Linked DNA regions of Canis lupus familiaris. The protein of the gene in region 1 interacts with the protein of each later gene in a pairwise test. Links are inferred from orthologs where the notes say so. Each region holds a gene or a part of one and is shown in the gene's direction. Other genes may lie near its edges. The genes, in order: GFAP, ZC2HC1C and TRIM27.

What was found.
Region 2: the proteins of GFAP (region 1) and ZC2HC1C interact in binary tests that used the Homo sapiens proteins (3 or more experiments, as listed by UniProt). The link is inferred for Canis lupus familiaris from reciprocal best matches to the Homo sapiens genes GFAP and ZC2HC1C.
Region 3: the proteins of GFAP (region 1) and TRIM27 interact in binary tests that used the Homo sapiens proteins (3 or more experiments, as listed by UniProt). The two-hybrid records come from large-scale screens. The link is inferred for Canis lupus familiaris from reciprocal best matches to the Homo sapiens genes GFAP and TRIM27.

What each region holds. Positions count from the first base shown.
Region 1 is NC_049230.1:18,455,926-18,459,636, forward strand, and holds the start of GFAP (glial fibrillary acidic protein), read left to right. Parts: upstream 1-861; 5' UTR 862-887; coding exon 888-1,351; intron 1,352-2,235; coding exon 2,236-2,296; intron 2,297-2,490; coding exon 2,491-2,586; intron 2,587-3,671; coding exon 3,672-3,711.
Region 2 is NC_049229.1:48,486,721-48,490,467, forward strand, and holds the start of ZC2HC1C (zinc finger C2HC domain-containing protein 1C), read left to right. Parts: upstream 1-1,198; 5' UTR 1,199-1,286; exon of another isoform or gene 1,287-1,349; intron 1,350-1,430; exon of another isoform or gene 1,431-2,100; intron 2,101-2,190; 5' UTR 2,191-2,209; coding exon 2,210-3,535; intron 3,536-3,747.
Region 3 is NC_049256.1:27,401,745-27,405,391, reverse strand, and holds part of TRIM27 (zinc finger protein RFP), read left to right. Parts: intron 1-1,192; coding exon 1,193-1,423; intron 1,424-3,647. UniProt on the Homo sapiens protein: E3 ubiquitin-protein ligase that mediates ubiquitination of various substrates and thereby plays a role in diffent processes including proliferation, innate immunity, apoptosis, immune response or autophagy.

The sequences.
Region 1 (3,711 bases):
GAGGGGTGGTGGGGAAACTGGGGGATGGAGCAACAAAGATGGGAGCTGGGACAGCCAGCTCATCTATAACTGCTTTGTGCAGCTGTCTAGACCGGGCTCTAGGCAGGGGTACAGAGAGGCCAGGCACAGGGGAAGTGAACTTGGTGGGACAGAGGCAGGGGCTTAAGTGTGGTCCAGGGAGAAGGCCAGGGAGTCCAACACCTGCCCTTCTTGCCCCTTCAAAACTTCTATGTCCCTTCCTTCACCCCCCACCCCCTGCTGGACAGAGGCCTCAAATGACCCTCTAGACAAAGGGCTGGTATCCAGTTCCAGCCCACAGCCCCAGACCTCCGGGGAAGGGGGAGAAAGCAGGAATGCAGGACGCCTATGTTCAGAGCAGAGAAGTCCAACAGTCCACTAGGATCGGGGCTCAGCACTGTAACACGGGCTGCTTCTTGAGAGTATGGAACACATTTGCTGTTCGCAAATTCCAGCACTTAGCAGGCACTAGGAGGAGTGCTGAGCCGGGAAGGCCTGCTTTATGGGATCTAAGAGGTGGAAAGCGGTGGAAAGCGGGTCAGAGGTCATCTAATCCAGCCCTTTCTTGGCCCAACTTCCCAGAGAAAGGGCCTCCTTGCCTAAGTGGTCAGGGCCGCAGATGGAGCATCAGGCCCCAGGCATCGCCCACCAGCACCTCTGTCTGTGACCCGGCTGGGGTTGGCGTGCCCACGAGGCCCAGCCCCTGGGCACAGTGACCTCGGTGGGGTGAGAGGAGCCCCCCCGGAGCTGCGGCCCAGCCCCTCCCCCTCAGGCCATGCCAGGGGGCGTTGCCAGGGGCAGCCGGGGCCGTGCCAGGCAAGCCCTCGCCTCCATAAAGCCCTCACTTCCCGGGAGCGGGCAGGGCCAGCATGGAGAGGAGACGGGTCGCCTCGGCCGCTCGCCGCTCCTACGTCTACGTCTCCTCGTGGGACATGGCGGGGGGAGGCCCGGGCTCCGGCCGCCGTCTGGGGCCGGGCCCCCGCCCCTCCGTGGCTCGGATGCCGCTGCCGCCAACCCGGGTGGACTTCTCGCTGGCCGCGGCGCTCAACGCCGGCTTCAAGGAGACACGGGCCAGCGAGCGCGCCGAGATGATGGAGCTCAACGACCGCTTTGCCAGCTACATCGAGAAGGTGCGCTTCCTGGAACAGCAGAACAAGGCTCTGGCTGCTGAGCTGAACCAACTGCGGGCCAAGGAGCCCACCAAGCTGGCCGACGTCTACCAGGCCGAGCTGCGAGAGCTAAGGCTGCGGCTAGACCAACTCACTGCCAACAGCGCCCGGCTGGAGGTCGAGAGAGACAATCTGGCACAGGACCTGGGCACCCTGAGGCAGAAGTGAGGAGGGGGCCCGGGGTGAGGGACCTCCGGAGCAGGGAAGACGCCCGCCCCTCGCAGGCCCAGGACCTCAGGCGGAGCCTCTGACTCTGTGATCCTTGGCTCCTCTGTTTACCCATCTCCGGGAGGGGAGGGCTGTCCTTGCTCCCCAAGATGAGAGGGACTGGGAGGAGGCCGAGTCCCAAGGATCTGACTCCCAAAGACCTCTTGCAGAGGAGCCACGGTGCTCTCAGCACCTCCCCTTTGGGGAAAGCCATGTGGGAACAGTCAGGGACCCCCATAGGCAGGGTCTTCATGTTTCATTCGCTGCCGCTGGGCCTGGTGCCCTTGCAGAGCCCGTGGAGTGGAGAAATGGGAAGGGAAGATTGGTGTTCACTAGGAGGACGGGGCTCTGGGGCAAAGGAGGAGGTGAGGAAAAGAGCAGGTGAGCCTGGCTTGGAAACACAGGTGATACTGCCTGTCACCAGCTTATGATCCTGGTCAAGCCACTTTAGCTTGCAGTGCTGTGAAGTAGAGATTCTAATAAACCTATTTCCAAAGGTCAGAGGAAACCCCAGGGACGTGGCGTTTTGCTGAGCTGGCAGGGCAGGCATGTGTGCCCTCAAGTACAGGAAGATGAGTGTGCATGCAGCAGTGAGTGTATGTTGGTGAAAGTGCCTGTGTGAGCAGGAGCAGGTGCACCAACCTTGATAAAGCACTTTAGTAATGAGTTAAAGCACAGGCCCTTATCTGCTCACCCTCCTGGCCAAGGCTCTGTCTGGGACCCTCTGCCCTTCACTCCTCCTGTCATTCCACTGGGCCTAGGGGTAGGGGTGGGGGTCTCTCTGGCAGCCACCTCCAGGGAGATTGGGGCAGACACCCGGGAATGTGTCCCCCTACCCCAGGTTCCAGGATGAAACCAACCTGAGGCTGGAGGCTGAGAACAACCTGGCCAGTTATCGACAGGTGAGGGGGGTGGAGGGGAGGGATGGGGGAGGGGGGTAAAGAGTTGATGGCAGCTCACTCACACAGCCCCTAAGCCCAGCCCTCCAGAGCAATGTGCTGCTCTCCCCAGCCACAGAAGGAGGGACCAGACAAGACATGGGAGTGGGGAGAAGGAGTCTGGGGTCAGAGCAGCCTTTCGTCCCTCCCTGCTCCAGGAGGCAGATGAAGCCACCTTAGCCCGTCTGGATCTGGAGAGGAAGATTGAGTCTCTAGAGGAGGAAATCCGGTTTTTGAGGAAGATCCACGATGAGGTAAGGCCCTCAGAGAGATTGAAATGGATAGAGAGACAGAGACAGACAGAAAGAAAATAAGCATAGGGGAGACAGACAGAGAGATAAGAGAGCATCCTTAGCCCCTGATGAAATCCATAGACACACACCACTTACTAAGAATTATAACAGAACTTGTTGCCCCCCCCTCCTTTTTTTTAAAGATTTTATTTCTTCATGAGAGACATAGAGAGGCAGAGACATAGGCAAAGGGAGAGGCAGGTTCCCTATGGGGAGCATGATGTGGGACTCGATTCCAGGACCCCAGGATTAAGACCTGAGCCAAAGGCAGACGCTCAACCACTGAGCCACCCAGGTGCCCCACCCCATTTTTTATTTCACAACAGCCCTGTGTGATAGGAACCCTTCCGGTATTATTTCCTTTTCACAGAGGAGGACGCCGAAGCCCAGATATGTGACTTGCTGAGGTCACATAGTCTCTCTGACATCACCCCCACTGCCACCTGTCTCCATTTAAATGCGAGCCACTCATTTTATTTTTATTTATTTATTTATTTTATTTATTTATTTATTTTTAAGATTTATTTATTCAGAGAGGGCGCAAGAGAGGTAGAGACACAGGCAGAGGGAGAAGCAGGCATCATACAGAGAGCCTGATGTGGGACTTGATCCAGGGTCTCCAGGATCACACCCCGGGCTGCAAGCGGCGCTAAACCGCTGCGCCACCAGGGCTGCCCGAGCCACTCATTTTAAAAAGACACCACTGAGATCTGACTTCAGATTATAGATTCATAATCTATGATGCCATGGAACCTGGGACCCTGCAGACACACCCACACCACAGGGACTCAGTTGCTCTCCATAAGAACACAGGCACACTTTCAGTGCTCCTGCCTGGTGGAACCTGGGAGGAGGACACCATGAGGCCCCCAAACTACCCTCTGCCTCCCCTGGCCTGGGCCATGCCACTTCCTCTAATAGGACTGCCCAATTTCCCTTAGCTAACATCAATGTCCAAGGGGCAGGCAGGCAAGGGCATGATATTGTGGGGAAATGCCAGTTGCAGCCTAGGCCCCAAGCCCTGGCATCCCTTCTCTCCTGGCCAGGAGGTGCAGGAGCTCCAGGAGCAGCTGGCCCGGCAGCAGG
Region 2 (3,747 bases), on another chromosome or scaffold:
AGTATGTGGATAGATACAACTCGAAGTGAATAAGGTGGAGGGGTAACGTGATGGAGTCAAGTCCAGGAGGGTACAGAAAGGGACTGATTCAACAGACCACAAGGAAAGAGAAAGATTTTCTTTTTCCTCAGACACCAGAGGGAAGGAATTCAGGATGAAGGGAGGCACTCTGGGCAATTCAGCCAGACTGGAGGGGAGCTGCAGGAGTTGATGACAGGCAGGCCAGATGCTGACATAATTAGGGCCTGGAGTGTAGCGGGAAATGTCTGAAACTGCAGAGAGAGAAGGCAGTTGAGTCAGCTATGAAAGAAAATAAGGAATCAAAGGACTGGCCCGGAGGAGGGCCCACCAAGGAATGTCTCTGTAACATGTAAAGCTGTAATAATGACATGCTGAAGCATCAACACCGACTACTGCTGTCCATTTTATGTCCCAAGTGCATGAATCTTTTTGAGTAGTTACAGGAAAAAAGTAAACCGCCTGTTCCAAACATCTTACACAAACGAACTAAAGCATGAAGACAAATAAACCCCTTTCTAATGTTAACAAGTCACAGAATGTCGTTCAGCGCTGAGGACCAGGTTACACCGATCATTTTCAATCCGGTAGTTAACTTTATTATCGTTACACTTGGCTGAGTCACCGTTGGGCCTCACGAAGAGACGGGCCAGGGTTACCACGTGAGAGCAAAACATCATATCAAAATAATTAGATTGGCTACGAAAACTACCTCGGAAAAGACCCTGGGCGGCACAACTTCGCCGAGCAGCTGACGTCCGACCGCAAGCTCCCAACTGCGGGCTGGGACGGGCGGGAGGGGCCGCACACCCGGGGCCCGCACGGGGCAGCCGAGCGCGCTGAGCAAGGCGACCAGCAGGCCCCCTGCCGCCGGCCGGGCGGACGCCGCAGGCCTGCACCGCGACTCCCGGGCCCTTCCCGGGGCTCCGACTCTTGCCAGAGAAGGGCACGCCCCAGGGGCTGGGAGCATCGTTCTCAGAAAAACACACGTTCTTTGATGGAGCCCCAGAAACGCCTCTCCCGCCCCCTCTCCCGTTCCCCAAGGGCAGGGCGGGACGGAGCCACGGAGTCGGCGGGACACCGGGTCAAGGGACACTCGCCCTGGCCACACCCCCGTCGCGGGCGCCTCGGGGCCGTGCGCGGGGCTGGGTGCGCACGCGCTCGCGTCTCCAGGCAACGGGAACAACAAAGGCCCGCGCAGAGCGCCTGCGCGGCGGGCGGTTGAGGCTCGGCCCGGGGGCGGTCGGGGGTGGAAAGCTAAGTCTTGGGTGGGTTTATTTATTTATTTTTTTTCTTTTCCCCTGAGCAGGAACGGTCCGCCAGAGCCTCAGGTAGGCGTAAGCAGACGAGGGGAGCAGACGTAGGGTCAGCGCCTCGCCTCCCAAGGGCGGCCGCATGGGCAGAAGAGCGAGGGCTGTGTTCCCCAAGCGGAGGCCCCAGCGGGGGCGCCCCTGCTGCGGACTCTGGGGCGGTGCGTGAGCTCAGCACCCGTGCGGCGGGCGGCGCGGCGGCCGGGTCAGGTGGCCTCCAGCTCTCAGGTTACGATCCGCGCCGTGGGGATCCTGGGTGCGGGTGTGACGGCCGGGCACCTGCGGCCGGCCCGGGCGGCTCGAGTGTCCTCTGGAGTCCAGCAGCGGGGAAGCCCTGAGAGCGCCTTGTGCGGGCCACCTACCTCCGAGCCGCAGTTTGCTCACCTGTGACACCGTAGGCCCGGACTCAGAGTCCTAAGGTCTTGTAACTCTGAGCGAAACTTCAGTGGATAGGTGAAGAAGCCAGCCAGCAAGGGAAAGTTGCTGGTCCTGTGTCACAGGCCTAAAGCCTGACTTTGAGTCCGACAGCCCTTTCCAGTAAATCTTTCCACCACCTAAGGAGTCTCCTGTGTATGGCAGGAGCATCGCTGTGTATGGCAGAGGCTGGTACTGGAATAAAGCGAGGTGGCGGGAACACCCGTGTCACATTCGTTTTTCTGTCCTCAAGATCTAATAGGCACCCACAGGAAATAATAAGCATTCACCAAATCCTTACTGAAGGAAAGTTCTGGCAGACCCAGCACCACTGTCCCTAAAAAGTTCAAGAGAATAGGTAGGACAAATGTATAAACTGTTTACTTTAGTAGCCGGGGGTAACCTCAGAAAACCTCCTCACAATATATCTGGTTTAAATCTCCCCTAGGCTTCAGTCCGGTCCCTGAATGGCTGGCCTCCAGTTGGCACCACCTCTGCCTGTGGGCGTTATGCTTCCATATAATGAAAGGGAAGCTCCAGGGCTCCTCTCAGCTAAGCAAGAGCCCTATGAAAAAGGTGACTCTTCTCAGCGGTCCTCCATGGGGCACCTGAGGAACAATTTCCAGCAGAAGCTTTTGAGCAACAAAGAGCTGACGCTGGATAATCTCTACACTCACTCCAAATGGAACGCCTGCACAAAAGCTGGGAGCTGCTCCTATCCCCACTGTGTTGGAATCAGCCAGCAAGATTCAAGAAGCGATTCCCAAGGCCAAGCAAAGGGTTCGTTTTACTCAGCAAATTCTCAGTCCTGGTATCCCAAAGCAAATAATCAGGAATTCATCCCCTTTACGAAGAAGCGAGTTGGGGTAGACCGGGCATACCCGCTGAAACCCGTGTTCCATAGGAAGTCTCACAGTACAAGTGAAGCTGGCATTGATGGGGACCAGGATGTCTCTCCGAGACCCCCTGAACCAAGAGAGTTTCCATACAGCAGCTTTGGTTCAAGGAACTGGGTGAATGCATCTGTGCTCCATGCCATTGCTGCCACACAGGAGGAGAGAGCCATGGCAAACCCCAACAGGACCGAATGGATGCAGATCCAAAGACTAGAAGCTGCAGGGGAGAGCTTACAAGAGGAAATCCGGAGAAAAGAAACCCTCCTTAGGGAAAAGCTGAAGAAGACAGAGGAGGAACTCCGAAGGATCCAGAAAGAAAAGGAACAGGCTAAGGAAAATGAAAAAAGAGAGCTACAGAGAATGACACTCCCCAGGAGGAGAATTAAAGGTAATAGCAACACCACATACAAACCTACCTTCTCCCCAGAATTCGGGTCTGAGGAGGTCTTCAGTAGAGACAGGGGAGAAGATGAACTTTGGGGACAGTCTCAAGAAAATTCTGGTCCATTCCAGTTCTCTGATTACGGAATACAGAAGCTCAAAAGGGAAAGACTGGTGGCAAGCAATAACAGAATCCGAGACCTAGTCTCAGAGTCATCAAAGGAGTTTTCTCAGTCTTCAGAAGGGCCTGGCAGTGTTTTGTGGGGATCCACCAGCAATTCTAGTTTGTCTAGGGGACCAGACTCTTCGGTTTCCAGCTGTTCCACTGAAGACCCCAAACTTGGCGAATGTAGCCACTGTGGACGCAAGTTTCTCTTGGTCAGACTGGAGAGACACTCCAACGTCTGCAGCAGGATGCAGGGTTCCAAGAGGAAAGTGTTTGACTCCTCCAGGGCCCGGGCCAAGGGCACAGAACTAGAGCAGTACCTGAACTGGAAGGGGCCAGCCCCAGTCAAGGTAAAAAGGCCAGGGCCTTATGGATTTGACTTTGGGGATCATTATAAAAGGATGCTAAATCAGTTTTCTTTAGAAAAAAACTCATGTGTCATACAGGGAGAAAGAACATTTATTGATTACTGTGTGCCAGTCACTGTGATAGGAGTTTATCATAAGATCCTCAGCACAACCCTGTGAGGGTTTCGTTGTCTCTTATCAATTCAAAGATCAAA
Region 3 (3,647 bases), on another chromosome or scaffold:
GCTGGGTCTTTTTCAGCTTTACTTTTCTGTTTCTGAGGTTGCACTGTGTCATTTATGCCTTTGAAAGACTTTAGGTAAGGAGAGGTGAGACCTTACCAAAAGGATGCGAAATAGGTTTGTGTTCACTCCTCAGTGTGTTGCACAGAGAGTGCTTAGGAAGGTGGTGAGAAGAGTGGGTCATGGGAAAGGTTCTCAGGAAGAGTGGAGCTCAGGACAGGTGTCAACAAACATCTGTAAAGGGCCACATAGTCAGGATTTTTGACTCCGTGGGCCACTTAGTCTATGTCACAACTACTCAACTCTGTCGTGACAGCTGAAGGCAGCATAATATAATATGTGAATGATGGGTGTGGCTGGGCCCCAGGAAAACTTAATTCCCCAGGAGTAAACAAAGGGAGCTTGCTGACACTTTGTTTAGCAGAGAGCCTCAGGGTTTTGGCAGTGGGAGGTAGATAGAGAAGGAAGGGTAGACTAGTTTTGGCAAACATCTGTTCCAGAAGGGCACCACACCCATAGCCAATGAGGGTAGGTGATGAACAGCCCTGGTGGCCAGAAAGGGGGTGAGGGCCGCACGGGAAGGGCCTTGGTGACGTGGTTGCAGTCATGATGCGAGGATTGAGTGTCCTAGTCCACCCCACATGGCATATATCTGAACCCAGTCACTTCCCTTTCACGGCTCCTAGTTGCAGGAAAGTCTTGCCCCACCCTGGCCTTCCAGGCAAGGTGTGTTCTCTCTTACCTCTTCTGGCTTCTCCCTCAAAACTTAGGTGCTTTGCCAGACACCATCGTTCACCATCTCTCCCGTCGTTTCTTCTGCCAGGAAAGCGTGTCTACCCTTTGACCACATGGTGAACCCCTGTTTCTCCAACCACACTGTGTGTGTTACATTGCCTCTGTGAAGGCTGTACCAGCTTCTCCCACTGCAGGCCATCCTGTCCTCACTACCTGTGGTTGCATGTGTCATGTGAACCGGGCTCTCCTGTGACTATATTCCTTATTTCTGGGGTAACTCACTTCTCAGCCATTGTGTCTAGTCGGTAAAGCCTGAGACCAGGAGTGAATGAACAGGATGCTTGTTTTAGCATGCCGGGACAAGATGATGAGGTCTCAGGGTAGGTAGTCAGGGACAGACATGAAGGGCTCTAGAAGGGAGCCTTCTGTCCTTCAGTACCCTCCCCTGTCATCTACGCAGAGCCTGACCCAGATGGAGAGGGAGAAGATTGTCTGGGAGTTTGAGCAGCTCTATCACTCCTTGAAGGAACATGAGTATCGCCTCCTGGCCCGCCTTGAGGAGCTAGACTTGGCCATCTACAACAGCATCAACGGTGCCATCACCCAGTTCTCCTGCAACATCTCCCACTTGAGTAGCCTGATTGCCCAGCTAGAAGAGAAGCAGCAGCAGCCCACCAGGGAGCTCCTGCAGGTAAGGCATGGAGGTGTGGAGTGTCCCACCAACGTGGCTCCTGCCAAAAAGTCTCCCTTCCCTCTTTGCTAGGCAGTATGGAGCACCTCCCCCTCCCCGCCCCGGTCAACTCTAGGAGTAACAAGCCCTAGCTCAGCTCTCTGGGCTTGTCAGAGAGAAAACATGCATAACAGAAGTTCCAGTTGACACAACTTGGATCGGTCAGTTGCATTGTCTCACGGGAAGGGCAAGAGGAAGACCTAATGCCTAGGCCTGTCCTGTACCCACACGTGGTCTGATCACACTCTTGACCTCTCTGGGCCTCAGTGACCTGATCTACTCCTGGTGTAATGGGAGGTTCAGCCTACATGCCATTTAAAGATTTGAGTAAAGATACTCAGTGAAATGTCCTGTAATTTTAACATATATGTGTACATTAGCACAGCCACAAAACTGAGCACTGGAGCAGGTGGTTGGCCCAAGCGGTCCCTGTGATTTAAGCTGGGTGTAGTTACAAAGCTGCATTGACCTAACCTGGCAAGGCCACAGGAAATGTGCTGTTGTTCATTGAGTGCATATGAATTGTCTTTTCTGGGTCCGGCAGTATTCTGGGCACTGGGATTAAGTGGTGAAAAGCTGTCCTGAAATGTATATTCTAATGTCAGAGTCAGGTACTAAAGAGAACAGCAGGGATCCCTAGGTGGCGCAGCGGTTTGGCGCCTGCCTTCGGCCTAGGGCGCGATCCTGGAGACCCGGGATCGAATCCCACGTCGGGCTCCCGGTGCATGGAGCCTGCTTCTCCCTCTGCCTGTGTCTCTGCCTCTCTCTCTCTCTCTGTGACTATCATAAATAAATAAAAAAAAAAAATAAAAAAAAAAAAAATAAAGAGAACAGTGGGTGTAATGGGTGTTCATAAATGCCATTAAAAGGGATGATGGCATAGGGCACAGGTCAGCAAACCACTCCACCACCTGTTTTTGTATGTCCTTCAGGCTAAGTGGTTTTTACAGTTTGGGAGGGGTTTTTTTTTGTTTGTTTTTTAATAGGAAGAGTGGAGGAAGAGGGGAAGAGAGAATTTTTTTTAAAGATGTTATTTATTCATTCATTCACTCACGAGAGTGAGAGAGAGAGGGAGAAGCAGGTGCATCGCAGGGAGCCCGATGCGGGACTCGATTGCCAGACTGGGATCACACCTTGAGCCGAAGGCTGAGGCTCAACTGCTGAGCCACCCAGGTGTCCTGGGAAGAGAGAACCTTAAGTAGGCTTTATACTCAGTGCAGAAACTATTGTGGGACTTAGTCTCATGACCCGGAGATCATGACCTGAGCCAAAATCAAGAGTCAGACACTTCACCAACTTAGCCACCCAAGGCCCCCTGGTTTTTACAGTTTTAAACGTTTGGAGAAAATCTGAAGATTTTATTTCATGGTATATGAAATTCTATAAAACTCAAACTTTGTTGTCTGCATTTTATTGGCACTTAGCCACTTGGATTCCTGTACATACTGTGTGCATTGTTACTTTCCCACTGCCACAGCAGAGCAGAGTTAAAAACCCAAAATATGTACTATTTGGCTTTTCAGAAAAAGTTTGTTGAGTCCTGCTTTAGACTAATAAGAAGGCCTAGCCTTGAGCCTTAATGACCACCAGTATTTAATTGCCAGGGAGGAAAGGAGGAGTTTGCAAAGTGAACACTTGATCAGAGAAGCAGAAAGTGACCAGGAAGGAGGAGTGGACAGCAGAGTCTCATGCAGTTAAGGGCTGACACGCATTTGGTTTAAAGCCACGGGCATTGCTAATGCCCTCAGAGAGAAGTGCCACAGTAAACACTTAACACTTCCCTAAGGAACCATCCTAGGGACAGTGGTGACTGGCAGGGTGTGTGACCACTGTAGGAATGGGTGTCTGGGTTAAGGGGTAAGACCATAAGGAGAGGTGGGGATTGTGGGACTTTGTGGGAAGGGATGCTTAAAGAAACAAACTAAACATATTGTCAGAGATCATGTGGGAGGAGAGTCTGTTGTAAGGATCTGGGTGAGGAAAGTCATTGAAGCTGTAAAATTAATGAACTTATCACTAATGTCTGTGTCAGAAAAGATGGAAGGGAAAGGGGACTAAGCACATGTATAGGATGTAGTTTTGGAAGATCTTTGGGAAGAGAGGAGGGTGGGGGGGAGGTGGGGATGCAGGCAGGTTGAGGTTTGGTAGCAAAAACATGGTAGCTTTTATTGTCTTGACGTGGGAG